Linked DNA regions of Rhinolophus ferrumequinum. The protein of the gene in region 2 interacts with the protein of the main gene of each other region in a pairwise test. Links are inferred from orthologs where the notes say so. Each region holds a gene or a part of one and is shown on either strand. Other genes may lie near its edges. The genes, in order: MXI1, KRT40, CCDC185 and ZBTB16.

What was found.
Region 1: the proteins of KRT40 (region 2) and MXI1 interact in binary tests that used the Homo sapiens proteins (3 or more experiments, as listed by UniProt). The two-hybrid records come from large-scale screens. The link is inferred for Rhinolophus ferrumequinum from reciprocal best matches to the Homo sapiens genes KRT40 and MXI1.
Region 3: the proteins of KRT40 (region 2) and CCDC185 interact in binary tests that used the Homo sapiens proteins (3 or more experiments, as listed by UniProt). The two-hybrid records come from large-scale screens. The link is inferred for Rhinolophus ferrumequinum from reciprocal best matches to the Homo sapiens genes KRT40 and CCDC185.
Region 4: the proteins of KRT40 (region 2) and ZBTB16 interact in binary tests that used the Homo sapiens proteins (3 or more experiments, as listed by UniProt). The two-hybrid records come from large-scale screens. The link is inferred for Rhinolophus ferrumequinum from reciprocal best matches to the Homo sapiens genes KRT40 and ZBTB16.

The regions. Positions count from the first base shown.
Region 1 is NC_046299.1:17,050,890-17,058,101, forward strand, and holds the start of MXI1 (max-interacting protein 1), read right to left. Parts: upstream 3,009-7,212; 5' UTR 2,712-3,008; coding exon 2,450-2,711; intron 1-2,449. UniProt on the Homo sapiens protein: Transcriptional repressor. MXI1 binds with MAX to form a sequence-specific DNA-binding protein complex which recognizes the core sequence 5'-CAC[GA]TG-3'. MXI1 thus antagonizes MYC transcriptional activity by competing for MAX.
Region 2 is NC_046304.1:37,223,531-37,230,546, forward strand, and holds the start of KRT40 (keratin, type I cytoskeletal 40), read right to left. Parts: upstream 3,016-7,016; coding exon 2,566-3,015; intron 1,863-2,565; coding exon 1,780-1,862; intron 1,494-1,779; coding exon 1,337-1,493; intron 516-1,336; coding exon 354-515; intron 275-353; coding exon 149-274; intron 1-148. Other genes in the region: keratin-associated protein 3-3, read right to left, coding at 6,301-6,597. UniProt on the Homo sapiens protein: May play a role in late hair differentiation.
Region 3 is NC_046310.1:12,729,187-12,735,746, reverse strand, and holds CCDC185 (coiled-coil domain-containing protein 185), read right to left. Parts: upstream 2,411-6,560; coding exon 521-2,410; downstream 1-520.
Region 4 is NC_046294.1:83,543,427-83,550,974, reverse strand, and holds the start of ZBTB16 (zinc finger and BTB domain-containing protein 16), read right to left. Parts: upstream 3,024-7,548; 5' UTR 2,475-3,023; intron 2,346-2,474; exon of another isoform or gene 2,020-2,345; intron 1,909-2,019; exon of another isoform or gene 1,754-1,908; intron 1-1,753. UniProt on the Homo sapiens protein: Acts as a transcriptional repressor. Transcriptional repression may be mediated through recruitment of histone deacetylases to target promoters. May play a role in myeloid maturation and in the development and/or maintenance of other differentiated tissues.

The DNA.
Region 1 (7,212 bases), on a different chromosome or scaffold from region 2:
CTGGAGGTCACCCTCGCCTGCGTGAGCTTTTGGGGAGGGGGAGAGGGCCTGAGGCGGGGTCTCTGTAGCTGAGCCCGGCACGGCGCAGCAGCCCACGCTCTCGGGGAAATCTGGGGACCGTTGTCATCACGTCATGCAGAGCCAAACAGCGGCGGCGAAAAGAGGCAAGAGAGCTAAAAATACTCCCGCGGGGAGCCGGCCAGAGGAGAGGGGGGCAGCGGGGCAGAGAAGCTGATTACGCACACGAAGTTGACTTTTAGTGGGGCGCTGAGGTTCCGTGTCCCTCTTGGGGGCTGGGGACGTGCAGGGCAGACGCCTCGGGAGAGGGACCGGGAGGCAGACCCCTGGCTTTCTCAGCCTCGGGAGCCAAGCTCCGCTGCTGCTGGCCCGCCCCGCGCGGGGCAGCCGGGCCCGGCGCTCCGGGCCCTCTGCTTACGTGACTGGTGGCCACGCCGGAGCCCCGGCACGGGGTAAACAAGGAGGTGGCGGCAGCCAGGGCGGCCGGAGGTGGGGTGTGTGGGGGCAGCCGAGGTCTCCGATTGTCTGCGGGTGCGAAGGGGTGACGGGACGCGGTGGAAGCTAGAGCAGCCTCTTTAGTACACCTCGCTGGGGGAGGGGGGCAAGCCAGGTTTGCCACACACACTGCCAAGGTGCCCTCTTAGGGTGCACCCCTCGCCAGAGCCGGCGCCAAGGGACAGACTCCGAAGAATCAGGGACCCGGGCGGGGGGCAGCTAAAGAAATCGCGCCCCTCCCCCCCTCCAACAAAAGCAAACACACCAAACAAAACCACGTCTTCAGCCAGCTCCACACCAGCTCTGGCTTTTCAGAAACTATCCTCCTGACGAATACACACTCCCAACTCCCCCCTCCGACTCCCCCCCCCCCCCCGCCAATTATCGCAATCTGATTCGGGTACTTAGCCGGCGACGAGCCTTTCTCGAAACCCAGGCAGGCACTCTGAGAAAACAGGAGAGAAGAGAAAGAAAAGAACGCACCACCGACCTCCCAACACAAATCCTTGTTTTTTTTGCCTTACAGCTTCTGCACAATTGCACTGCCAACACACGCTTACTTTAACCCTGGAGGACTGGCGTGTCGGTCAGCTAAGGTGTTTTTGTGTTTGAGGGTTGTTGTTGTTGTTGTGTTTTGGGGGGAAGAGGATGCAAGATCTGACACGTTGCAATCGGACCATTTTCTCTCTCTCTCTCTCCCTGTCGTCTCATTGATCTTCCTACTTGTTCGGACAGATTAAACAGACTGGTTTTCTCTAGTCTGTCGGTCTGTCTGCCCCGGCCCCTTCCGCCTTCTCGCAGCTACGTATTATTTGTGAGGACCGCGCTGGAGACACCGCACACGCGTGCCCCCATTAGGGCGCAGAGTCGACTGCTGGGGAGGGCTGGGGGACCCGGCTGGCAGGGGCAAAAATGAAACCGACAAATACAAAAAAGGAGGCCAGGCCGGGGTGGGGCTCCCAGCAACCACCAAACCCCCACCCCACAACGCATCGCTCCCCCACCTGAGTCTGGGAGTGGGGAGGGGACGGTAGAAATCCACCAGGAAGGCGTTTGCCTTCCTAGCCCTGTGCGCTCGCTTGGGAGCCGTCTCCCGGAAAATAAAGAAACTGCACACAACAGCCCACACCTTCTTCCCCAACTATTGTTTCCTGCGAGATCCCAAAGTTTCCTTCTAGCTGCGTTCCACTCGCCAAGTTTCCCTGGAGGACCACGGCTCCGGGGCGAGCTGCTGGCGCTGCTTGGCCCTGCCGGCCTGTTTCTTGGGGGGAAGGGGTAAGCGGCACCCCAGGGCAACAGAGGCGCAGGGGCTCTGTATCCGAGGACGCGATGGCCTGAGCCCAGCTCTGCTGAGACAGGGGAGGAAAAAGCGAAGTAGACAGGAGGGAGAAGCAGAGCCAAGCCAGCCCCAGCTAACGCCGGGAAGGGCTTTTGGTGGCTGTTGTTATTGTTGTCGTGTGTGTCTGTGTGTTTTCTTTCTGGAATCGCTGAGCTCTGCCTACGGTTTCCAACTTTCGGCTTCTAATCCTCCCCACCCCACCCAGAAACGAGCGACAGAAAAACAACACTTGTCTGCCCGAGAAGGCTCCGGAAAAAAAAAAAAAAAAAAAGGAAGAAAGGCGACCTCGAAGAGATGAGCTCTTGGCTCAGTTGTCAGCAAACAACAACACCCCCGCTCCTCCGCCGGGAGGTCCTCCCAGCCTCGGGTAGCTGGACAGACACACCGACAGGCCCCCCTCTCCCCCCGCTCGTCTTTGTTACATCTTTAGCAGCTTTGTGCGTGCGTGTCCTTTCTCCGGTGTCATCGGCTTTACTGCCGAGGGCTGGATGTGAGTTGGGGGGAGGGGGCGCGGGCCAAGCAGGCGACAAGGGTCGCCCAAGTGGGCGAGGAAGAAAAAGCCGGGCGCAGAGGAGGAGCGGGGGCCCCAAAACTTACTTTTGTTTTCTTTCTCGATCTGCTCCAGGTAGCTGGCGGCCTCGAGCAGAATCTGCACGTTCTGCAGAAAAGTGTTGATGTGCTTCTCCATCGAGTTCTCGCTGGTGTTGAAAATGTCCGAGAAGGGGCACCTGAGCTTGGTCCCCGCGGGCTCCTCCGGCTGGGCCGGGGGCTGGGGCGCGGCCACTGCCGGGGGCGCGACGGGGGCCAGCCCGGCGCCCTCGCAGCGCGCCTCCTTGCGCGGCCGCCCGCGTTTGCCCATGGAGAGACCGGGATCCACTGAGCTCGTCCTCTTCAGGGGCTACGCGACGCGGCGGAGCTCCGCGCCCCAGGGGAGACCCGGCTGGCTGGAGCAGAGGAGGCGAGGAGGCGAGGAGGCGACCTGACTTCCCTAGCCTCGCTGCGTGCAGTTGTGTGCTTGAGTGTGTGTGTGTGTGTGTGTGTGTGTGTGTGTCTGTGTGTGTGTCTGTGTGTGTGTGTGTGTGTGTGTGTGTGTGTGTCGGTCTCGCAGTAGGTCTGTGTGTATGGGAGATTGAATGAACCTACAGGACAGACGGAGGCGCTCTGGCGCCTGGGTCCTAGTGCGAGCCTCTCTCCATTGGATCGGTCAAAATAAAAGGTGGAGACAAGAGAGTCAGGGACCGCCCCTAGTCGGTCCTCGCACCCTTCCCCGCCTCTCCCCTAAATTTACCAGTGTAGAGCGCGGGATGAAAAAAATATTCGATGTCTCTGAGTGCACCTGCATAAAAACAAACTACTAAGATACTTTTTTCTTCACATAAAAATAATAGCTCGTAAAGTGCCCAGCAGAATGCTTGGCACATAGTAGGTCCACAGTAAAATGACTTTTTTTTAAAAAAGCCCAAAATAATCATCACAACTAACCTGAAGTTTCCTCCCCGAATACACACACACACACACACACACTCACTCACTCACTCACAGAGGCAAGGCCTTGTGCTTTCAAAAGGCCAAATGAAATTCCCAGGCCCACAAATCCGGTTTACAGATTTACTCACCCTTTCTTTCTCCCTTCAAATGCAAAGTTATTTTCCAGGAAGGGGAGGAGATGTAAGCATCCCTCTCCACTCTCCTCTTCCAAGCCTTAGTCCAGCTGTGCAAAGCTCACACTGGGGTGTCACCACACCTGGCTCCCTTTTATTTGACAGAGAAGCAGAACTGGCAGCCTAGGACAAACTACCCCAGCTGAATTCCACCTTTTGGCTCTGAAGACCCCTACCCCAGCTGGCATTGTTTTCACTCTGCTGCTGTCACCCAGTCAGTCTGCAAGAATCCTGGATGTTTTCCTGGGCTAGGAAATGTGGTGGGAGTCAGGGGAATATTTGAGGACCTCTGGGGAGTGCAATAGAGAAGGGTTCAAGTCCCAGCTCTGCTGCATACAGACTGTGTGAGCTTGGGCCAGTCCCCTAACCTCTCTGGCCTAGGTTTCCCCAACCGTGAAACCTCTGATAAGATTCTTATGCTGATTCAATTATATCTGCACTGAGCACACTGCGTGGCCCCTACTAGTAAGATATTTTTTTCCAACCTAGACCCAGACTGCAGCCTGCGTCCCCTATTCACATCCAACGGGGAACAAGCTGCAAGAAGCAGGACTCTTCCGCACTTCGTTGGAAAACATCTCTGCAACAAGCCCATCTAAATACTGTCACCTTGCAAGGCCACCTGGAGCTTTCCTCCAGGGGAACCATTTTCATAGAAGACACGGCAAATGCTGCCCCCTGGAGTTGTGCCACCCAGTCACCCTGCTCAGAGGCAGCTTCATGTACATTTGCCAGGAAGACTCTTACTGGAAATGGGAACTTTTTGAAAAAAAGGAGAGAAAGTACATTTCTTTGTAAAACTCTCACTATAAAACACTTAGCATACACACACCCTCTCAGAGACTTCAAAGAAGTCTTTTGTGCTTTTAGAATACAGCAGGTCCTCAAATAACGTCATTTCAGTAGTTAGTGAGATGCTGCAGGAACTTGACCCTTGTTTATATCATTTAGCCTATGGAAAAATTGGTTTCGTTATAAGTCGTTTTGTTTCAAGCTGCAGAACCTATAGATGGCATTAAGTGAGGCTTATCAAATACTAATAACATGCAGCTGATTTGACAGGAACAATTAGTAACTGGCATTTTAAAGCCAATGTATTCATATTTTGGACCATAATATAATTATACTACACATACTCTGCTTATTTTCCATTTTGTGACAAATTTTGCATGGCTGATCTCTGGATCTTTTGGCTAGGGTAAGATACAGTAAGTGCGGACTTATTGTATACTATAACATGCTGCTGATATGACAAGAACCATCAGTAAATGGCATTTTAAAGACAATGTATTCTTAAGAGCTGTGAAATAAAAGTTTGCCTTCCATTATCACAACAATTACTGACTTTTTTATTCCTGTCAGAACCACAACCTGAGTTATTCATATTTAAAAGTCTATAAATCTCTAAGGGCTTGGGGAAGGTACAGTTTCAAACAAGTTTTATCGAATGCCATTTTGCCAAAACTGGTGCTTGTGCGAAACAGCTATGATCTCCTTTGTCCCAATGTAAAGTGATAGCAAGACAATGAACCAGTGAAGCCCAGAGAAAACCTTGGTTTCGTATTAATTCCCCGGTGGAAGGATGGGCCAGTGTGCACATACGCAGTCCTGCCACCTACATGTACGTATAAATACAGCCCCCCAAGACAGGCACGCCCCACGCATGAGTGCAGGGTCAGTGGTAGAGTGTTTTCTAATTATTTATTTATCCTTGTTTCATCTCTCATAGGTCTGTGAGCTTCAGAAAGCCCAGTGGGAGTCTTCAAGCTGGGCCATGGATCTGACCAAAGCCAAAATAAACAATGGCTTGAAGAAAATCTACAAAAAAGTGCTGATTTGCACTATTCCCACAGTTGGCCACAGCCCCCACCATCATTCCCATGGAAAACACCACTGCTGGTGCCAAATCAAGTTTTTCCCCCATCATAGTGGCATTGTTTTTTGTTATTATGTGAGTTCTTAGCATCAGACAATGGCACCACAAGAGACACAGTGGAAGCAGGAGAAATGCCTTTTTGTTTCACAAAGTCTATACTATTGTGCCCTGGAGCCTCACATATAGTTTAGTTGTATATATTCGTTTTGGTAGCATGTATGTGGAATGGTGAATGTGCCAAGTGGAAGCTCAAAGCCTCTTGCTTATATTTCTTCAGAGCCCACCAAGTGCTAAACCATGTTTGCATCATACTGCTCTCTCCCTCCTCCCCTACCCCCGCCCCAATTAACAGATTTTTAATAAGAAAGTTGGCCCAATAGAAAGAGTGGCGGTTCAGGGGTTATATCATGGGACAGGCATCCAGGATGCTGGGTTACAAGCTCAGCTCCATTCCCGATTAGCTTTACTTCCCAGGAGGAGCCATTCAAACCCTTTGTACCTCACTTTCTCCCAGGCTTTGCCTCCATAAATAAACAGGCCTCTTTGGAAGCTTGCTGCGAATCTCTGCAGAGAACAGGTAGGGGATAAAAAGGCAGGTGGCCAGCCTGATCAGAAAACTCTTTGAAAGAAAAGCAGTGACTTCTTGCCATGCCCAGCAAGGCCAGCCACGATCCTCCAGAGGGCCTAAAGTATCCCAAGTGCCCGCTCATCCTGGGTCTTGTTTACCCAATTTTCTATTCTTTGTTCAACCTATTTGCCTGTTTGGTAATATTTTTCCATCAACCTTGTTAGTATATTAAAGCAAGACCACTCTTTCTTTTATTTTCCCCTCTTTCCCCCCAGACATTCTATACTCCTACATCAAAGGAATTGTTTTGTCTGTAATTGTGTCTTCAGGTACGCAGAGGCTGCTTAATTACTGAGATGGCACTAGGTGAGTGGCCCCAGACCTCCTCGTCCTGCATGCAGGCGGGAAGCCCTTCCCTGTCCTGGATGGACATCTTGGCTCTCCCGGGCTCTTCAGCCTTCCTCTTCTTCCTTACCCATTCTCTTCTCACTAGTCCTTTCTGCTTCAGTCTGTCCCTCCAACATCTAGCCTTTCTTTGGATCTTGCCAGCATGGCTAGATGAGGTTCTTCCCTGCTCTTTGACCCGTGGTCTTTGTCCTCAGGCTTGGTAAACACCATCAAGAGATCTTCTGTACCCTGCATTGTCACTTAAGTCTTCATCCCCAGAGCTTTCTTAGCCAGATTTTTCCTGAGCACCTTTTCCTTTAGAAAGGGATCATCCAGCAAGAGCTGAGGAGATGGCTCAGGATTCCTTCTCTCCTTGGGAGTCTTCATCTTGCCTTCATCTCGGAGAAGGGAGAAGTGGCTTCAAGGAAAGTCCAAGGCTAGAGTGTTAGGGACTATAAGACACAAGCAGAAGGGCAGGAACAGGAGGACTGTGGGACTCTGCCTCTCCCAGTGGCTCCCAGCACAGCCTCGAAAGTGCTGACCAGGCCTATTTCCACCACTCCCCATGCCTCCCCACCCCCACCCTCACCAGTGAGTGTAGACATGGCAGAGGATAAATAGCCTCTGCCCTACATTGGAGCTTACCCGGGTGTCACCTGCTCCTGAGGCATTATCTCTGCTCTTCTGGACTCTGCCCTGCCTTCTCCTGGACCTCTGAGGCTGGCAGGCCCTTCCTGTCTTAGACAACTCCTGGGCTTCTCCTATGCAACGCCCAGTACTTACAGGGTTCATTAGACTATGAGCTCATCAAGGACAGGAAGTATGTCTCGCTCCTGCTGGCATCCCCAGCCCCTGGCACCTGGCACAG
Region 2 (7,016 bases):
GCAAGGAAATATAATCCTTGCAAATTGGAGATTCAGACTTCCTGCCACATGAGCTGTGTGGGTCTCTCCTTTGAATTATGGAAGAGGGGATAGTATCTTAGGGCCTGATTCTTCAGTGACAAATCAGAGCCTTCTTTGCCTGACACACCAGGCTTTGCTGTGCTTGGAGCTCAATTTCCAGAGTGTTGGCTGTGCGTTTCAGTTCCAAGATCTCTGTCTGGCAGCCCTGCAGCTGCTCTGCGCTGGAAAGCTGCTGTTGATTCAGCTCCTCCATCTGAAACACAGGCATGATGAGAGAACGCAAAGAGGGCAGAGGTCTGGAAGCCTGTCTTTGTACCGCTCCAGGTACTGACCTGAACAGCGAACCACTCTTCCGCTTCTCTGCGGTTGTTAGCGAGCACCGTTTCGTACTGACAGCGCATCTCATCCAGGACCCTGTGGAGGTCGATGGTGGGGCCACTGTCTAGCTCCACACTGAGTCGGTCACCAAGCTGTCCACGAAGCACGTTGACCTCCTGAAAGTGGCAATGAAGTAAAGAATGTCACAGAGTGGTGGAGGAAAAAAATCACCTTGACATCCTAATGATATCCTGTTTTTGTTTTTCAGAGTAGTGAGTACAAATATGGGATTTAGATTCAGATTGCCTAGGATGAATCTCTTTCCATCACTCAGTTTCTTCATCTTCAAAATGGGTATAATAATTTTATCTTTTCCACAGAGTTAGTGACCGATAAATGAGTTAATACGCACATAAAGCACCTATAAAAGTCCTTGGCTTATAGTAAGGTCTCAGTAAATGCTAGCTGCAATTTTCATCAACAGATGTTCAAAGGGAAAATGTACTTTGTTACATCATTCAGTTTTTCACATTTTAGATTCATCAATATAGGATAATCATATACTTCATATTATGTGATTTTAAAAAGTTTATTGATGCAGAATATTTAAAAAATACTGGTCCAATATTGTCAGACTCTTTATGGCCTTTTTGAAATGGTTTCACAGTATGTGTTTATCAGGCTGATTTTCTTACCTTATGGATTAGAGTTAAGCATGGCATAAAGCCTCCAGGGAAAGCCATTTGTGGAGTTACCACCTCCACAAAAGCGATGGCCGGTGAAGAGTTTGGTTCTTTCATCTGGCACTGGCTAGGGGCCAGTTTACGGCTATACTCAGAGACATACTGGAATGAGCAGGCTGAATAGTAATAGTGCCTTCAGTAATTTTGTTCCAGCTTTAGCAACATCTACCCAAGTTCAATTTATATACACATATGAAATCTGTCAGTTTAATTTGTCAGTCTTACATTATTTTGGCAATTTCCATGTTCCTCACCTCCTCATGGTTTTTCTTAAGGCAGAGCAGCTCCTCCTTCAGAAACTCCACATGGGCCTCCAGGTCCGACTTGCACAGCGTCAGCTCGTCCAGGATCCTGCGCAGGCCACTGATGTCAGTCTCTACCAGCTGGTGAAGGGACAGTTCAGACTCGTACCTTTCATAGCAAGAGAGGCATGTGCTTACTTTGCTAGACACTGGGCAAGGCGCTGGGACACATGGACTCAAGGAAGCCATGTGCTGTAATTTCTTCTACATCTGAATAATAATCAATTTGAGCTTTGTGAGCATTCTTAGCTTAAAAAATATCATACAGAGAATATTTGTGGCATGCGCATGTGTGTGTGTGTGTGAGTGTGTGTGTGTGTGTGTGTGTGTGTGTGAGAGAGAGAGAGAGAGAGAGGTGTAACCATAAATTATTTTCAAATTTACATTAAACTTACTTTGCTCTAAAGTCATCGGCAGCCAGTTTGCAGTTGTCAAGCTGTATAGCGAGTCTAGAATTCTCTGCCTTCGTGCACAAGATCTGGGAATAAGTTGTCAAGTAATAAATGGTTCTTTGAGAAAAATCTAAATATCTATTCTTTTAACAGCTATGCCATTATTTATCTTTTAAAAGTCTTTGTAAGAAAGTATAAGATAGCTTATTGCCTGCTTTTCTTGTTAACCATGTCACTTCATGAAAAAAAAAAGGAGTGCCAGTTTATAAATGAAATAGAGAAATCAAAAGGTTTAGTTTTTTAATGACCCAAGACATTTTGCAGTATTTCTTGGCAGGTGAATTCAATTAAACTTTTTTCCATAAGTAGTTTGTGTTATGACTGTATCCCCATATATGATAATAAAAATCCATCAGTAAGAAAAGAAAATTATTACTAGATAAAATTATATGATTAAAAAGATGACGTTTCATCTTATGATAAAAATAATACAGCTGTACAGTGTTACCTACATAAGTAATTTTAGATATCACTCCATTTTTCCTTCCTCTGTAGGTGAGGAAGGTAGAGTCTAGAGGTGAGTTTATTGTGGTCACCCAGTATAGCAGTGGCAGCCCTGGGCTTAGTGGCATTTCCTGACTTGCAGTCCAGTGCCCTTTCCTGTACATCGCATTACCACTCAGAAGTCCCTTTTCCCAGGCTTCCTTCTGCAGGACAGCCTCTTCTAGTATAAAGATCAACAAATCACAGTTTGGGAAGGCGGAGCATTAGGGCAGTGAGACACCAGACCTTTTGCTGGAGCTCTTCAATGGTGTCGAAGTAACACTGGTAATCGGGGCACACCAGTGGGATGTCCCCTTCATACTGTGCCCGGATCTGGCATTCCAGTGCTGCATTCATCTCCTCCAGGCCACGCACCTTCTCCAGGTAGCTGGCGAGTCTGTCATTCAGGAACTGCATCGTCTCCTTCTCACTGCTGTTGAACACCCCATCCTCACACCAAGCGCAGTGCCCCACCGAGCACGGAATATTACAGCTCCCAGAGAGGTAGCATGGAGCGAGGCAAGCTGTCGGCAAGTGAGACCTGGATAGGAAGCGAGGGGTCTGGCATCTGGATGTAGCACAGGCACTGCTGGGGAGACAAGTGGTTTCCACGGGACAGGTTAAAGCAGTTGCACCATCAGAAACCCTGGCACAGGACTCAGACGAGCAGCACGTGGTGGAACAGTCCGAAGGCATCCTTTTAGAAGTGAGGAACAAAGATCAGTGGCAAAACTCAAGTCGCCTAACTCCAAAAGTCTCCTTCCCTGCTTGGACTTTTATATAGCCCCCCCAAATGGGTATTTACAGAATGCACCTGATGTTTTCCTTATTGCTGTTGGTGCCGGTTTTCATATGATCATTCATTAGTGTTGTTTATTTGCTGAGGAAGAGTTTTATGCCTCATAAAAGAAGCATAACTTCAGGTTACTAAATAAAAACCCATTCCCATTGTACCAGTAGGATAAAATACTTGTTTCAGAAAATCTTCATAGGAAGCATTGTCATTTTGACAGAATAAGGAAAGAAAGAGAAAATTTGGCCAATCAGTAATTATAGCTACAACTGATTACAAAAAAGGAAAATAATATTCGCACAGATTTTGATGCTAGCATTGAGAATTGTTTATGTCCCCTTTTAAAATTAATATTACAACACATTGAATGCTATTTATTTGTTTGTGCCACCACCATAAAATGTTCCACGTGATTAGCAATCTTTGCAGTGCTGGTCTTGCTGTGCTCACATGGTAGAGGAGGGAGGTGTATGCTGGCTTTAAAGTGTGTGTGTGTGTGTGTGTGTGTGTGTGTGTGTGTGTGTGTAAATTATATCTGCCTGTGTGGAAGTTGAAAAGTCACTCTACATGACTGATGGTCATAATTTGTGTCCTCCAGGCCAAAATACAAATGGGATACCAGACCTTTTTGGGTTATCAAGACCTGGAGCTGTGATGTTTGATATCCTGAAACTTACCTTTCCCATATTTTCTATTCCTCATTTTTAGATCAGGGATACTAATTTTTACCTGTATCTCTAATAAGAGGGAAATATAAATTCTAAGGTTAATCTTTGAGTCTCTTGGGAAACCCTCAGTGATTACACTTTAGAGTAGGGGCAATGAAGCTACAGAAAGCTTTTCTTCTGAGATATGGAATCTCGTATGTATGTATGTATTTTTAAAGTCCCCAACTTCATGGAAATTAAAAATGCAGGAACTAGGGAATAAAATTACATAATAAAATATATCACTAAATTTGGAAAAATTTCAACCTTTTTCCAAACCCAAATTTTTCTGCACTACTTTCTCATATTATTTTGGAACAACGACTTCATGTATCTTGAGCCACTTAACACTGTCCTACAGGCTGCTCAGGTTCTGTTAATTTTTTTTCAATCTTTTTTTCTCTACCTTTTAGTTTTGATAATTTTGATCTATCTTAATTCATTGACTTCACCCCTAATTGGCAGTTTCCAATCTGCTATTAAGGTCACCTATTGAATTATTTATTTAAGATTGTATTCTTTAGTTCTAGAATTTTCATTTGCTTCTTTCTTATTTAATTTAAATAATTAAATTTAATTTGTTAAATAAAAATGTAAAGTTTTACTTTAGATCTTTATCTTGTCTATTCTTTTCACATCTTTTCATCTTTTCCTTTAAATCTATGAAAACATTTGTAATAACTGATAATTCTTGCCTGCTAATCATAACATCTATGTATCTGTGGACCTACTTTTATTGGCTACTTTTTCTCTTGGTTATAGATGACATTTTCCTGTTCCTTCACGTCTTGCAATTTTTAATTATATGCTGTCATTCTAGATGATGTATTTTAGGAAGTCTTGATTATGTTGCAAAGTTTTGGGTGTTGAGTTTTATTCTGACAGGAAGTTAAATCACTGGAAGGTCCTTTTGATCCTCTCAGGCTTGGTATTTTTAGACTTTTCTAGATCAGGTATAATTTGGTGTGTTCTTTACTCAAGGTTGTGGCCCTTACTCTTTTCGTATGTCCTTCTGGAACATTGATTAAACATCTGAGGTACTCCCAGAGCTTTGTCCCCTCTGGATGGGCTGGCACTTCAATATCTGTTAGTATTGAATGACTTCTGGTATCTCCGTTCAGCTCTTTATCCCCCAGCAGCCACTCTCTGCTAGCTGGAATTTTATCCTGTGTGAATGCAGCCCAGCCCTCTGCAAATACTTGATAAGAACTTTTACACAGACTTCTGCGTCCTCCCGCACGCATCTTCCTCTCTAGAACACTGTTGTGCAAATTCCAGCTGCCTAAACTCTATTTAAATATGCCACATGTGCCTCAAACTTGTCATGTCTAGAGTAGAGCACAGTAGTTCCCTTTTTAGTTTTCTCCTCTGTTACCATACTCAGTTGGTGACCTAACTCCACTGTCTAATCTTTCTTTGACACCCTCTTCTCTTCCATATCCCTTTGACCACCAACTCCAGTCAGCTTGTCTTTGACTATGTCTTTCTTCTCTTTATCACCATGGTAGCAATCTTAATTTCTTAATTGTTCTGAATTTTATGGTACCACAGCACTTTAATGATGCCACTGTTAAAACACTTTTTAAAAAAAATTATCCTAGAATGCCTGGCATTCATAAATAATTGTTAATTGCATGAAGGAATGAATGGTATTGTGTATGTATCTGCCTCACCTGCCAGACTGTCAGCGCATTTTGATCAGGGACAGTATAATGCAGGACATATAATAGATATTCAATAAATGTTTATTGAATGAATATTATATTATTATTTTTTGCATAAATAGATTAAGTCACCTGGATTAGTTAATACGTCATATCATATTTACTTTTCAGATCATGTTCAGTAATTTCCAATCTATCTTAAACCATTTTCTGGGGGAGGGAAAGTCAATGAAAGTTTATTTTCAAAGTATGCTAATATATTAAACCATCTTTTATGCAAGTCCATTTAGTTTTATTACAAACAAGAAATATTTATCTGTACGCCCACCATTCTCAGTTTTGCAGATGCCCTCTTAAAATGCAGTGCTTAAAATGCTGACTTTTGGAGTTAAGAAAATACATTTAATGAATTAACAGAAAACAAAATAATTGTAGACATTTGTGCTATGCCAGAGATGTAAAATTTATTAGGATGATCATGAAAAAGCTCCTTAATTTCCAGGAAGATACCACCCAAGACTAAAAACAGAATTCCCAAATACCCAAAGAAAGATACACTTTAATATGCAGGACTTGAACAGCTTTGGGAAACCCATAGGCATCCTCCTGCTCAAATTGCCCCTGGTTACTGATATCTGCTACGTGGCCATCGACAGTCTCTTGGTTTTTTTGGGGGGTAGGGGATTGTCAGTGATAGTGCCATCCTTGCTCCAACTTCGGAAGCAAAGTCAGTGAGTTGCAGGTACTGAGACAGGCGAACACTAAAGCTTCTGGGTTGACTCTTTCAATGTCAGGCACTGGGCGAAGCAGCCATCGGTCAGCAGCAGCTTGGGAGGCAGGGCTCACAGCAGGGCTGAGTGTAAGTTGTGAGGTTGATGGTCTCCAGGCCTGGGGTGGGCAGGCAGGAGTTGAGCAGGAAGCAGGTGGGCACACAGGGCTGAGGAATGTGGCAGGGTGGGGGGCAGTTGTCACAGCAGGTTGGCTCCAGCAACCAAGTGGTGTGTGGGCAGGTGCTGGGCAGGCAGACTCCGCAGCGGCAGCATTTGTCAGAGGAGCAGATGGTGGAGGCAGGGCCGGTGGGGACGCTGCAGCAGCAGGGAGCACGGCAAGCCATGGCGGTGGGAGTGTGGTTTTTATTGGTTTTGTTTCCAGACAGATGAGGTTTCTGAGGTGATCCTGTCTCTCCTTGCTCTGGGGTTCTTATATACCCTCCCTAATGGGTGTCGGTCCAACCAGAAGGCTTCTTTCCTGGTTCTTGTTTATGTTAGTGTATCCATTATCCTTTAATTGGTTTGACATTTAGATGCTTGTAAACAGTCTCTATTCTCCCAATTAACCTTTATTTGAGTTCTTTGCTAAATTTGAGCCTATTATTCTTGCTATTTGTCACTGGAACAGGAGCTTTATGAGGTATTATCAAAGGCTTCTGCTATTAGAATTCCGACACCAGCCCTGCTGGGGAATATTGCACGTCAGCACACCTGTAGTTTGTAGGTCTTATCTCTCTAGTGCTGGTCAGTTATTATTCTGTTT
Region 3 (6,560 bases), on a different chromosome or scaffold from region 2:
CTTTACTACAGGCCTTTTCAGAGCCTTTGAACTTTTCATGTTTAAAGGGGGGACGCAGTATGCAGGGATCCCAAATCTACATGCTTTTTCTTTTTCTTCTTCTTGGAGATTTCTTATGACTGGTACTTCACACTTCACCCTTTCGTAAATTCTGGGAGAGGAAAAAACCATGACATAGAACAATCTCTCCTACTGTAGATTTTTCTCTGGTTCCTCCAAGATGTGCCCGATATGTGCTTCTCAGATTACTTGAGAGCTAAATGCATCGTTTCTATTTAAGTCAACATTCACAAAGGCAAGTAATTTTCCTAAAATTCCCAAACGTCTATCCCTCACCCTCTCAACGACCCAAGTGAATGGACAAACTAGTTCACGAGAGGAAATTGTAGCTATTTTATAATTTTTTTACTATCAATGCTCCCTTATAATCAGATTATAAATGGAATCACATCACCAGATGTCTTTCCAGCCGCCTGGGCGGTGAGCTCTCACTCTCTCTCTCTCTCTCTCTGTCAGGTTCTCAGTAGCCCCCTCTCTGCTGACCCACACGGAGCTGGGCCTCCCGGTCCAGCTGAGCAAAGAGTCTGTTGGCTCCCACGTTGTCCCTCCTGGAGGCCCTGGAAATCTTCTGGAATTCCTCGAAGTTGGCATCTTTTTCTCGGGCGAGCTCTTCCATCTGCTCCTTTTTCCTAATGGCTTCCTTGATGCCCTCCACGTGGCACTTTTCCTCCTTCTCGGCTTTCAGCTTCAGGATGTGATGGTTCTTCTCCCGCAGGATGTTGAGCTCTTGCATGTGCTGTTCCTGGTCCCTGAGGTTCTTGTGGACGTTGCTCCTGTCCTGCTGGAACTGCTGGTCCGCCAGCTCCACCAACAGCTGCTTGTGCACCTTCCTCTGCTCTGCCAGCTGCTCCGCACACCACTTGACTTGCTGGAATTGCTCCTCCTCCATCCGAGCCTTCTCCCTCAGCTCGCGGTGACGCTCCCGAATCAGGCCCTGGTGGATCTCTTGGGACCACTGGGAACTCTGTTCCAGGGACAGCTTCCTGAGGAGTTCCTCAGCCTTGGCCTGGCAGTCCATGAGGACCTTCCGGGCCTGGTAATTGACTAGGGAGCTGAGATTGGCTTCCTGGACCTTCCTCTGGCCCCCGGTGGGGTGCAGCTGCTTCTTGTCACAGGCCTGCTCCGGCTTCTTCTGCACCTCCAGGCTGCTCTGCTCCCGCTGGTGCCGCACCACCTTCTCTTCCTGCTCTTGCTGGCGCTGGACCTGGCAATGCTTCCTGTGATCAGCCTCGGGGCGGGCCCTTTCCAGCTTCTCCTGGCGCTGGGTCTCCGGGCCCTCTGATTGCGCCTTCCACTGGTTCTCTTGCTGGACCATGTTCTTGGCGTGGCCGTCCTGTTTCCGTCCAACGTGCTGCTCCCCGCTCAGGCGAGTCTTGCGCTGCTCCTTCTGCAGCCACTGCTCCCGGCTCTGCTGCAGTAGCAGCTTGCGCTCCCTTTCCAGTGTCATCTGGACCTTCTGGTCCGAGCGCTTCAGCTCCTCCCAGGCTGCAGCCGCCTGCTGCTGCAGCTCCCGCATCCTCTGGGCCTTCTTGAGACGGGTGAGCACCAGCGCCACAATCTTCTGGTCCCTGGAAGACGTTACCGCCTCTTCCAGCTTGTTCTTGAGGATCTGGGTGCGCTGGCTCTGCCTCTCCTTTCTGGAGACTGAGGGCTGGGAGTACTGGCCGGCTAATAACTCCATGCCATCACTACTGTCCCTCCTCTGGGTGGACACGCAAGCGAACGCTTGAGAGGGCGCAGACGACTTCTCTGTGGGGACTGAGGACAGGGAACAGCAATCTTGACCTCTGTAGACCGGCACTGCCCATGGGTCTCCACTCTGTCCCTTTTCTGCCCTGAAAGTTCCACTCGGGGGCGTGTAAGCACCCGTGGAATACGGTGGGGGCGAATCTCCCTGGGCTGGGGGGTAGTGTTGGCAGGACTGGGGCCGTTGGGGTGACAGCTGGGGCTGCTGCGGCCAGGCTGGCCTGCACCTACTTCTCCCCAGAGGGTGGGGCTGGGTCCTTGGCTCCCCGCAGGCATCTTCCAGGCGCCGGCTGCGGGTCCCGCGCTTCCTGGTGCGGTCTGGGGGCTTCCGGGCCATCTCTCTCAGGCAATGGCTTTCCCGCAGTGAGTTGTGGGGTGACTGGCGCCGGCGAGGCCGCAGGGTGGGCGAGCAGTGCGGGGGTGACAAGGCCGCGGCAACCTCACTCCCCTCGTCCGGAGTCCCAGCCCAGGAGCCCTGCGCCGGCTGGGTCTGGGGTCTGGGTCCACGCAGCCGCGAGGAGGAGGACGCGCGCCCTCCGCCGAGCGGCGGAGGCTCCCAGAGGTCTGGGTAGGGCAGCGAGGAGAAGTTGCCTAAGCCCTTCATGTTCCCTCCCTGCGCGCGCAGCGTATGAGCCAGGGTGCTGCGGCCTCCAGGGGGTGCTGCTGAGACCCGCCCCCGGCCCTCTGGGGCAGGGATCCCTGGCGCCTGTGACGCTAGGGCCACTTCACAATGCCCCAGTCGCCAGGGTCCTGCAGCCCTCGGCCCTCTCCCACCCCTGCCTCCCTAGCATTCGTACTGCGATGGGGGCAGTGGGAGGGGTAGAAGGCCGGGGGAAGGTGCAGGGTAGAGGGGAGCTGTAGGAAATCAGGGGTGACCCTAAGAGCTGAGGGTGTGTAGTGAACCCCCACCAGCATTTCAGGCAGGAATTTGATCTCACATCTATACACTTTAAAGCAGCAGGCTTTTAAAAGGACCTGAGTGAAGCTGTCACCCCAGAATGTAATGTGGAGGGAAGGATCGAGGGGGTCGGGGCGGGGGGTGGAATCCCCTGAGCCAGGCTTAGCCTCAGTCACCACCCCTTCTTCTGTGTACCTATATGGAGTCTGCAAAGTACGCGGCTGTGGAAGCACATTAATATGTACAACCTTTTTGCCTGCTTAAGTTAGCAAATCCAAAGTGTGTTTTGGTTACTTTTTAAACTTTAGAACAGGAAAAAGACTTGTCCATTTTCCCCTAACGTGACAATTCCTGCTTTTGTCAAAATGTGAATGTCGTGTGTACATTTCTGAAAAAAAAAATATTTTTGACCCTTTTCTCTAATTTCATGAGATTATTTTTCCTTGTTGAGGTACCCTAGGCTATTGGGAAAAAAACGATTTGGTCACGCAAACATGAGTTTGAATGACCTCTGCCACTTTCCACCCGTGTGGTCTTGGGCAAGTTACCTGCCTTTCCTGACCCTCAAATTCTGGAAAAGTGGAATGGACGAAGGGCTGATGATAACACACGGCATTGCAGAGCCGTCCTGAGGGTCAGACGAAATTATGTGTCAAGAGCTTAGCACCTTAATGCATTAAACAAATATTTTGATGTCCTGCTAGGCTTCAGTTAAAAATTGTAAGACTTAATATATGGGTTAACGAAAGTTTCTGTGGATTCCTAGCTTAAGAAAAAAAGAATGGGCTTAAGGTGCTACTAAAACAGTTTAGGTGAAGGGTAATGTGCTAGCGAGGGGCGGCCCCCAGGCTCTTGCACGTTCATCCTGCACTGTGGATCTTGGTTAAGTCACTTCCCTTCTCTGAGGTGCAACGCGGGAACAGTTTTGGTTGACATTCTTCAAAGAGGGTGACTCCTTAAAGAAGAAAAATGAAGATTGACTCACCCCTGTCTTCTTTACCCACATCTACTTGGAGTTTCACAGCAACTGCAGCTGTGTGGGCCCAACAGAATTGACGTTTGCTTCAGACGGGTCTGAGAGTTGGCCATGTTAACTGATTTCCCCAAAGAGCACAATGTCACTGGCGGGAGTTTTGACTTCAGATTCACTTCTTTTTCCATGACATCGTGCTGCCTCTCAGGAAATGCAGTTTGAATGGATGCATGTGTTATAGATCAAATGTTTGTGTCCCCCCAAATTCATATGTTGAAGCCCCAGCAGCCCTTAGCGTGTTGGTATTTGGAGGCAGGGCCTTTGCTAGGTAATTAGGTTTAGATGGGATTAATGTCCAAGGGACCAAAGCTTCCTCTCTCTCCTCATAAGGACACAGCCAGAAGGTGGCTGTCTGTAATCTGGGAAGCAGGCCCTTACCAGAATGGATGGAGGCAGCACCTTGATCTCAGACTTCCCCGCCTCCAGACTGTGAGAAATAAACATCTGTTGTTGAAGCCGCTCAGTCTGGGGTGTTTTGTTATAGCAGCCTGAGCTGCCTAAGATGACATGCTTTTAAGAAAATTATGATGAGATATACACCAGAGTGTCATGGTGGCCAGGTCCTTGAAGCCAGGTGGTAGCAGCCTGGACTAGAGGAGCTGAGCCCTCCTCTTCCAGGAGCCCTCTCTGCCTGGGTGGGATCTCCGATGTGGTCATTAGCACGTTTATAGCTGAGGATAAGTTGTTTCTACCCTAGATTTCTTTTTTATTGGGGGGGAAGGGCGTTCAGCTTTATTGAGGTATAATTGACACAGTTGTAAGATACTTAAAATGTACAATGTGGTGGTTTTATAGATGTATACATTGTGATAGGCTCCCTCCCATCCAGGTAATTGACATATCCAGCCCGCTGGTCGCTCTTTACCTTCACAGCCCCTACTTTCCAACGACCATGAGGCTGAGAGTCGGTAAGGCTGTGTTTTGTATGAGTGAATACTAATATCTTGAGGGATAGAACAGGCTGTGTTCTGGTCCTTTCTCCTTTTTAACTTCTACCCTAGATTTCTATAAGCGCCACTCAGACCATTGTTAGAGAAGTTATCTGTGGTTGTCATTTGTATAAGGAGGCAACTTCTAAAAAAATTAAATCAAATTCGAAACGGAATCATTTCACTTTAAGCTAGGAAATATGGAGGCATGAACTGAATTGTGCTGATACCTGAGTGTCATCTCTCTTGGTTACGGCTCTGCCAAGCATTTTGCAAAACCAAATGGGGCTCTGGCCAGTGCCAGGCTATTTCTTGTCACAGAGAAGCAGTGTCGTGTGGGAGAAAGCATAGCTGTGTGAGAGCTTGCACGTGTAGACTGGGTGGAGTGAGAGTAGCAGAGGACCAAGACATAATTCGGGATAGAGTAGCCGTTGTGGGAGGGGAGAGTTTCACGAAAAAGCGAAAAAGGAAGGTGGGCTGGACCCTGATGCCATAGCGCGTTGACTGCCAGGCTGCACGTTCCAGCTTTCCAGGGAGCTCCGGGATTCCTTACAGCTGCCATGGGTCCCATAGGATGTGGGGCTTGAGAACTTCAGGGCAGATTCTCAGGCCTCTGTCCCTGCTTCTGCCCTGACCCTCTGTCCCCACAGCAGCTCAGATTTTAGGTTTTGTATCCTGGGGCTCTTGGTTTCATCACATTGAAAAAATGTAAGGTTCTGCTTATAAAAAGCATTGAAAACCACTGTGCAGATGGCAGTGAAAAGTCAGTAAAAGTCTTGAAACCAAAAAAATTACCCAATTGGGTCTATATTTTAGAAATCTTACCCTGGCAGCAGTGTTGAGGATAAACTGGGGAGTAAGGGGAGGGGAATTGGAGACAGTGGCCAGTTAGATGGTTGATTCACTAATCTGGGTGAGCCAGCAGGAAGTATAAACCTGGACCGTGGCAGGGGGACAGGAAGGGATGGATTCAAGGGACTGTTCGGAGATCGAGGGACCATGATCTGAAGATGAGTTCCATCTGGAGAAAGAGGGTTTCTCACCTGGGTGCCTGGGCAGATGGTGAGTGCCAGTGACAAGAGGTCTCCTTCTAGGAGACCTTGAAAAGAGTGATCTTGGAAATCAGGTGAAAAAAGATGTAGTAATAAGGGAACCCCCACACAAAACAGCAAACAGAATATGTGGAGGAGACTGACAAACGGGAAAGAGACAGCTTTTCTCTGAGGGGCCTGGGGGGGAAGTGGGAGGGTGGTTGGAGCAGGGCAGCGGGAGCAGGGCCAACCTTCTAACCAGCATCTTTAGCATCTGACCCCTGGGAGGATGACAATCCCAGAAGCCACTGTCAGCTCTTGCAGTAGGCAGATGAAAGAGATGTTTTGCAAATGTTAAGCTGCCAAGCAGTCCCTTGATACTAAGAACCACCAGCCTCCTTTTTATTTGGCAGAAAAATCCTCAGTGTAGTTCACTGGCGGCCCCAGAATTTGGGACTTCTGCCAAATGAAGACCTGGGCCTCGTTTCTTCATTTGCTGGAAGCTTGGAAAACACGGCAAAATGTGCTCTGCTTCCACAATTCAAATTAACTTATGGAACAGAACTGGGCTCTGGGCCCTTCCTCAGAACGGCTGTTAGTAGTTACTGTAGTGGCTTCAGATTCGATCTCTTAGCAAAGCTTCTAGTTCTTGGATGGGTCAAAAGGGGGAAATCAGCGAGAGCTACTCTGTGCGATACAGCAGCCAGCGGCCACATTGAATGCGGATAGTCCCAATTGACATGTGCTATCGAGATAAAATACACCCTGGATTTCAAAAATTTACTATGGAAAAAAGTAAAATATGTCAATGCTTTTCTTTTTTATATTAGTTATTTGTCAAGATGGTATTTGAACACAACAGA
Region 4 (7,548 bases), on a different chromosome or scaffold from region 2:
AGGAGCAGCAACTGATGCTGGACATGGCTTGGAGGTGCTAGAAGCAATATTGGCACCAGCCTCTATGGTATGAGTTACAACCAGTATGAAGGGAAGACAGGGCTGCGAAACAAAGGCCGCTCCCAGGGCGCAGTTCAGGATCAGTAACAGGGCCTGGGACTCTGAACTGTTTAAAGAGTGTTAAAAAGACTTCACAGGCCACGTCCTTCCCAGCCTCTGCCTTGCTGTGACCAGTATTTCAGTAAAATGACCTAGGAGCAAAGCAAAGCAGGGGTTCTCCTTCACTCTTCCAAAACAACTTGCCTAAGCCCCCAGAAGGAGCCTTATGGGTTCCAGAGCCACAAATCTCATGCAGAAAGGGTTAACAGGACTGCTAATCAAGACACTTTTGCTGCCCAGCCTGGAGTGGGGACTAAGGCCATCAAGGATGGGATGGCCATTCATCCCTGCTTAACCACTATGCGCTTTCCCGCAGACTTCAGGGTTTCAGAAAACTAGGAGGGAGCAATCGAAAGAATGGAAGCTGGGCTACCCGAATTCCTTCCCACAAGAAAGCTCCTTGGGTCCTGAGGGAAATCAGGGTGCCCTCGGTCAGCCGTCCCCCCCGACTCGCCTCTCAGCGCCCGCGATCTCAGGCCGGCGCTGACTGCAGCGCCCAGCCCTGCGCCGCGGTGAAAAGCCGGCGCTAACCCGCTCGAGCTCCGGGGATCGATCGCGCTCTCACACACCCCTAGTTCCCAGCCACCCCCACAAAGAGTTGGAAACGTGTTCGGCAAACTTGGGGAAGCAACTTTTCCCGGGGAACCAGACAGCAGAAGGAACGGGAGCCGGGCTAGGGAAGAGGAAAAGCGAAAGAGACCCGGACGAAAAGCAAGAGTCCGGGCGGGCTGGATGCCGGGGCAAGAGCGGCTAGGAGGCGGACCCACCCCGCAGCGAAGGGAAAGCACAAAAGCCGGACCGAGAGTTGTGGGAGCAAAGGAGAGAGTTGTGGGAGGAAAGGCAAGAAGGGATCCGCCAGCCTTCCCTGTCCGACCCAGGGCCGTGATCCCCGGGAGCGACGGGCAGGGTCACAGGCCGCGCGGGGCTGGAGCCTCCAGCAGCCGCCTTGCCCGGCCCAGGCACGGTGCGCGCGTCCCGTGGAGCGGACGAGTGAGTCGTTGCACAGTGCGTCTGTGCGTTCCAGCGGGTCGGCGGGCCAGCGAAACCGTGCGCATTTTGAGCGCTTGCGGGAGTGTTCCAGGGGCTGCGCGTGCGAGCCGCCGGTGCGCCGGGGTGGGAAAGGCATCCCGAACGCATCAGGTGCAAAGCTGGGACACCCACCGAGTACGGCCGGAAGCGCACAGCGAGCTCCGGCGCCACGGCCGGTCCCGCCGAGAGCCGAGGAGGGCCCGGAGCCCTGAAGACCCTCCGGAGCTCCGCCACGGCCGCCCTCCCCCCTAAACAGGGGGAATCAAGTCCAACCAAGGAAAAAAGGGCTCACCACGTTTTTACGAAGAAAAACAACACCCAAGTGAGTCCCACTCCTGCTCTCCTCCGCCCCCAGATCCACTCCACGGATCCCGATTCTGGCTTCCCAGCCGGCCGGCGAATAAACACACAAACCACAACCCTATCTCGCGACCGCGCACCGGTCCGCATACATATGAGCACCCACCCGCTCCCGGCTCCTCCGCCGGCCCCCGGCGGTACAAAGCCTCCCGATCCCCAACCCTCCGCTCGCGCCCTCAGCCCCCACACACCGCTCTGCCCCTACCTCTCACCCCGACCGTGCCCGGGTGCGGAAGGGTTGGGGTAGCAGCTGTGCCCAAGCTGACAGCCAGGGCTCCCCCTTCTAGTCGACCCCCAACCGGCGGTGGCGACGGCTGCAGCAGCAGGAAGGGAACAAGCCGAATAAAATCAGGCACAAGCTCAGCGGCCGAGTGGCTGAAGCGAGGGCGCCCCCAGACCTCTTCAGCCTCAGGGGCGCCCTGGCGCGCGTCTCTCGCTGGGCGGTGCGCCCCTCCCTAGCCCCTCACTCACCGCTGCCAAGCCGGGCGCTGTGGGGTGGGTGTGCGTGCCTCTTGGGGGGTGTGTGCCAGTGTCGGGGAAGGGTGTTGCTGGGGAACTGTTGCTCTCGGTATCACGGCGGCAGCGGCGGCATCGCCCGGCAGTTCGCAGTACCCGCTCTCATCGCCCTCAACTCCTCTCTGCTGCGAGGTTAGCAAATCACCACCGGCTTCGGCGCCTCCGCCGCGTCTCACGTCAACGCCGAGCCCCCTCCCCTACGAGGCCCCGGCGCCTCTCCATCTTTAGTGCTGGCGGCCGAGCCGGGCTCCTTGCCCACAGCTGCCCCCCTTCGCTCCCCCCTCCCGTGCCGTCCCCGAGCTCAGCCCGCCCACCCTTCCCCCCCCGCACTGGCCAAGCCGGCGCGCGCTCCCCGCCCCACCCCTCCCCTCCCTTCGCTCCCTCCCTCTCTCTCCCCTCCCCTCCCTTACCCGCGCGCGGCGCTCCGGGCTTCGCCTGACATCTAGCTGCTGCTGGGGCGCTGGCGGCCGCCGCTCACCCGCCTAGCGGAGAGGAAAGGAGATCGTGGAGAGGAAAGCCAGGGACTCGGAAGCCTAGTGGGGGCAGTGGAGGTGAGGTGCGGGGATCAGCCTCCACCTTCAACCCCGAGGTTTTTAATTTCCACTGGACACGGGTTTTGTTTCCCCCAGCTTCTCCAGGCGCGGAGTTTTGTCCCTGACTTCACTGTTTGTCCCAATTCAGTGTGTGTCCTCTCGCCTTTCACTTTTGCTCCGGGCTGGGGACTGCATCCCCTGTACTTCGACGTCGGTTTTAGAAGGTTGCTTTCCCAGCCCCAGCCCAGGCCTTCTGTGCCTCCCGGCTGCGGTGTGCCTCCGGGCGATGAGCAGCCGGATTGCGAGAAGTCTCCAGACGCAGATTTCGCTGACCGTGGTGAACCAAGTGCCAGAGGGTCCGCGGGGATCTGACGTTGGAGGTGGACGTCCCATTTCAGCTATCAGACCCCTGGGGGTTGAGGTCGAGGCCTGAGAGAAACTCTTCTCCCTCTCAGACTTGAGCATGCCCTCTTCTTTGCCCCCCCCCCCCCCCCCCCCCCGCCAAGGAACCCGGTTGGAAAGAGTTCCCAAGGACTGCGTCCTGCTCAGCGCAGGCTTCAGGGGACGGTGAAAGCTTGAAGGCCCCCCAAAGTGTTTCCTCTTCTCAACTGGTCGCTCCACTTTAGAGGGTAGACTTATCACTAACCCGGAGGTAGAGCAACCAAAAGAAATCTGCCCTTCCTCAGGCGGTCGAGAGTCCCCTTAGAGAGTCCCCTTCTCCCCCTGCCTTCTCCCTGAGCCTGGCGAAGGTAGGGGGCAAGAGGTGGCAAGCGCTTTTCTGCGTGCAGGCAGGCCGTGGTGCCCGACTAACGCTAAGGAGAGTGGGGTGGAGAGCTCCATCCCTGGGTCTCAGGACAGTCAGCCCCAGAGGTCATGCAGTCTTAGCAACGCGGCGCTTCAATCACGGAGTCTTGAGTCTCCACATTCTGCCGCTGACAAGCGGGTCGGTCAAAGTTTTTCCACAAGACTTCCGTATAATCACATCCCCATGTGTGCCTCGGTGCCTCCGCACTGCCCAGACGGACAGTCAGGCCCCAAGAACTGTAGGGTTATGGAAGGTGGCAGAAGCCAAGTAGAGACAAAAAATCCTCTTCGGGGTGCAAAACACTAGGAGGCAGAGTTTACAAATCATAACTGTTCTGGGTTCACAAGAGCTGCTAATGGGGTAGTCTCAAAGACAGGCAATTCCATCCCAGCAAGTGTCGCTCTTGTCTCCTACTCCCAGGGAAAGTGCTGGGGAGAGGACAGCAGAGGGCAGAGAAGCGCACTCCCAGGTGAAGGAAGAACGTTATCCTCTAATAGAGTACACAGCAACACCTGCCCAGGCATGGGAAAGCCCAAGCCCTGGGGATGCCTTGTGCTTAACAATAAAGAGGAATCCCCATTATAGACGATTTTTCTAGCTAGGGTCTTCGTGGTCTGTAAGATGAAAGGGATTTCAAGAAAGTGAAGAAAACTGGTCTGGAAAGAGATGAAGAAGGGAAGGATGCCAGAAGAGGAGAAAAGACACCCCCCCCCCCCATGCCTCACCAAGGCAATAGAAGAATCATTAAACTTGTTGCACTTCTGTCCAGGCGGTACCTGCTGAAGGTTGCTGCCTTGCAGTCCATATCCACTACCAGTCCCTCCCCAGCGCAGTAGCTGAAGCACAAATTAGCCCTTGATCCTAATCTTCTATTAATCCTTAAGTTAGAAAAAGGGAATCTTTGGAAACAATGGGAGAGAAAGAACAGTTCCTCAATGGCCCTGGACTCCCCCACCTTCCATGCCATACTCTATGTGAAAATCTCCCTTGCTTCATAAACTCTGCCTATTAAAAAGCCCAGCCCTTGTTAGTAAGTGTTAAAGAGAGATTAATGTCTGAATTTAAGAGGTGGAGAAGGTAACAAAAGGAGGAAGGCAGGCGAGGCTGTGGGCTGAGTGCCAGCATTGGGTTCCAAGCATTTCCACTTAGCGCTGAAGGCTGGCTGCAAGGCAGTTTGATAAGGTTTATTGGGTCCAGATAAAGCGGCAGCAGCTCTACCACCAAAACTGGCACCATTTATAGCCACAGCTATGTCCTTGGGTCCCTGGAACGCTGATGAGAATCCCCAGTTCAGAGATTTCATATGGCATCACCTAAAAACAAGCAGGATGGAAAATTACAAGAGAAAACTCTCTTTCTCTCTCTCTGTCTCTGTCTCTCTCATGTTCGTATATTTGTAATTTCTTTTTACTTTTTTCTTGAAAGGGGTGGTAAGGGAAGCGGGGACATCAGTTCTGACCAGTCCCTAAAAATAGAAGAGACCTCAGCCTGAGGGAGGTCATGCTGGAGACAAGGGAAGAGATGAGTTGACCTGTGGATGGAATTCCATTGCTAAATCTTCTTATTCCCTCATCACTTTTATTCATACACCTCCCACTGGTAGCAGCCTTTCAGAGCTCAGTTTGTGGAAGAGGATGGTTTATCAGGACTAAGATATCTTACAGGAAGGGGACAGTGGGAATAATACCTCATTCTGAATACTGACTATGAATCTTAACACATTACCTATGTTGTTTTATTTAGTCCTTGTAACAATCCTATTGATACAGGTACTATTATTTTCCCCATTTCTGCAGATGAGAAAAAAGGCTCAGAGACATTAAGTATCTTATCCAAGTTTGCAGAACTATTAAACATCAGAGCTGAGACTTTAAATCAGACCATTCCAACTACAAAGCTCCTGATCTTAACCTGCAAATTATACAGCCTCTAGCAAGATAGAAAAGGGAAACAAAGGATTTTAATTTTACTTTTCATCTTACTCCACTTATTACTCATCTTCTGTGCAGCAGCCACCAAGCTGAAGCCCAAACAGTTATCCACTGAATCAAACCACCAGGTAAATAGACTTAGAGCCCCCAGAATCTCTGCACTTTCCTTCCTTCCTCAAAATCTCAGGCAAAAGTGGAGGAGGGAGTTTTGAATTACAGTAAAACTTCAACTAAACAGATGCCCAGGAAGAAGGTTATAGTGTTGTTTTGACTACTCTGATTGTTAATGGAATGTTGCAACTCATTTTGTTCCAACTCCTTATTTGAAAAATAGTTTTAAATTGTAAAGGTAAACTTTCCTATCATGATAGATAAGTCAAGGACTCCTACCTTTAGGAGAAGAAGCTACTTTGCATTTCCCCAAAATCTTGTGATGAATGGGGAATTAAGTGTTTTCAGGGAGAGGTGCAGGCAGTGAAGCCCCTGAAAGGAAAAAGTAGTCTCCACTGCAATTGACAACTCCAGGTTGCTACTGGAGGCTGCACCAGGCTGTCACTCTCAGATCTTTACCCCACTGGAGACCCCTGGGGGAAGATAATAGCAAACATGTTGTGCCCTTTTCTAGTGGCAAAGGATCTTACAATGCTTCAAGGTCATTATTGCAGATATCTACTAGCTAGATGCAGATGATGTCAAAAATTAGGCAGAGTCGAATTTGCCCTCAGTGTATATATTGATAGTTTTCTTTGGTTTGCCTTTTTTTTTTTTTTTTTTTTTACATTTAATTCTATCACGTCCCTTCTTTAGATGCCTGCTCCAAAAAACAGAGGGGGGAAATAATCAAGTGATATGTGGATTCTGGTTACTTGAACCTGAGAAAACCAAATAAGAGGATGGCTTTTTTGACTACTAATTGCTACCTCTCCACCCCCATCCCCGTGGAGTCCTGGTTAGTGGCATTTACACACTTGGGCTTCTCTTCCAGGTTCTGTGTATGCCCTTCCTCTCATCTGTAGGGCAGAAAGTGACTTTTCAAAGGGAGAAGAAGAGAGGTTATTTATTTTAGCCGCTGAGGTCTTCAGTCACTAGGACCCCAAAATCTTCATGATTGAAGAAGAGAAAGCTTTTTCTACTCTCTTCCCCCAGCATATTGCAAATGGTGTTGGGACCGAATGTTGTCAACTCAAATAGCAAATCTGAGTTGTTATTAGTGCAAAGATGCCCTGAGGGGGTAGGCAGTGTGGATGAAATCTGCAACGGATGTTATGGGAAAGCGTGTTTATAATTATAATGGGATTTAATGTACACTGGGACCAGATGATGGCAGCCATTTAAAAAGAGATGCTTAATAAGAGAGGTCCCTTAATGACAGGCAGCAGGGCTCAGGTTATTATGGAAGAAGCACAGTGTTTCACTGGGTGTCACAAACCATGTGCCAGGTTTTATGGGATTCCTCACAAAGCTTTGGGGTGAGACATAGCAACCATTGCTGTCAGCTGTTGGGCATCATGTCTTAATGTGTTGTCTTTGAAAGAGCATCTACGCATAAGAGAAAGGCATTTTTCCCTTTTGGATACACATAAGCACAAACATACAGGCCCAGCGCCAACATTGAATAGTTTGGGGTGATTCTGGAAATCTGCTTTGTTCTGAGAAAGAGGGCCTCCATTTCAAAACTAAAATTTTGCAGCTGTCAAGGGGTGCGGTTTCCATATAGTATGCATGCATTAAAGCAGCAAAATTCCCACTACAAGTGATGCGAGTCCCATAGCTAAATCCCTGGGCACCCATGCTCAAATCCTTCTCAGAAATGGGGTCTTTCTAACACTTTGGTGTTTCATTCTAGAGAGGCCAGGAAGAGGGGAAGTACGTAACATTTTCTTGTGCCTTTTAACTTGAAATAACTGACTGTTTAACTTCTGAGGTGTTTAAAGTTACAGATTTCAATCCTTATAGATTTCGATCCAGGGCAGCTGTTTGACACCAGGAGTGTGTGATAGTTATGACACTCATTGGAGTTGCCACCAGAAGCACGATGGTCCCGAAATACAACTCAAGTCTAAATTGTACTATTCATATATTTCTTCCTTAATGTGAGAGAAGTGTATGAAAACTGCTGTGTTCGCCTTATATAGGACTCATTCATGGTTATCGTGTTCTCTGTCCACAAAACTCACGACCAGTCTCAGAGTCTTTAATGCAGAATATTTCATTT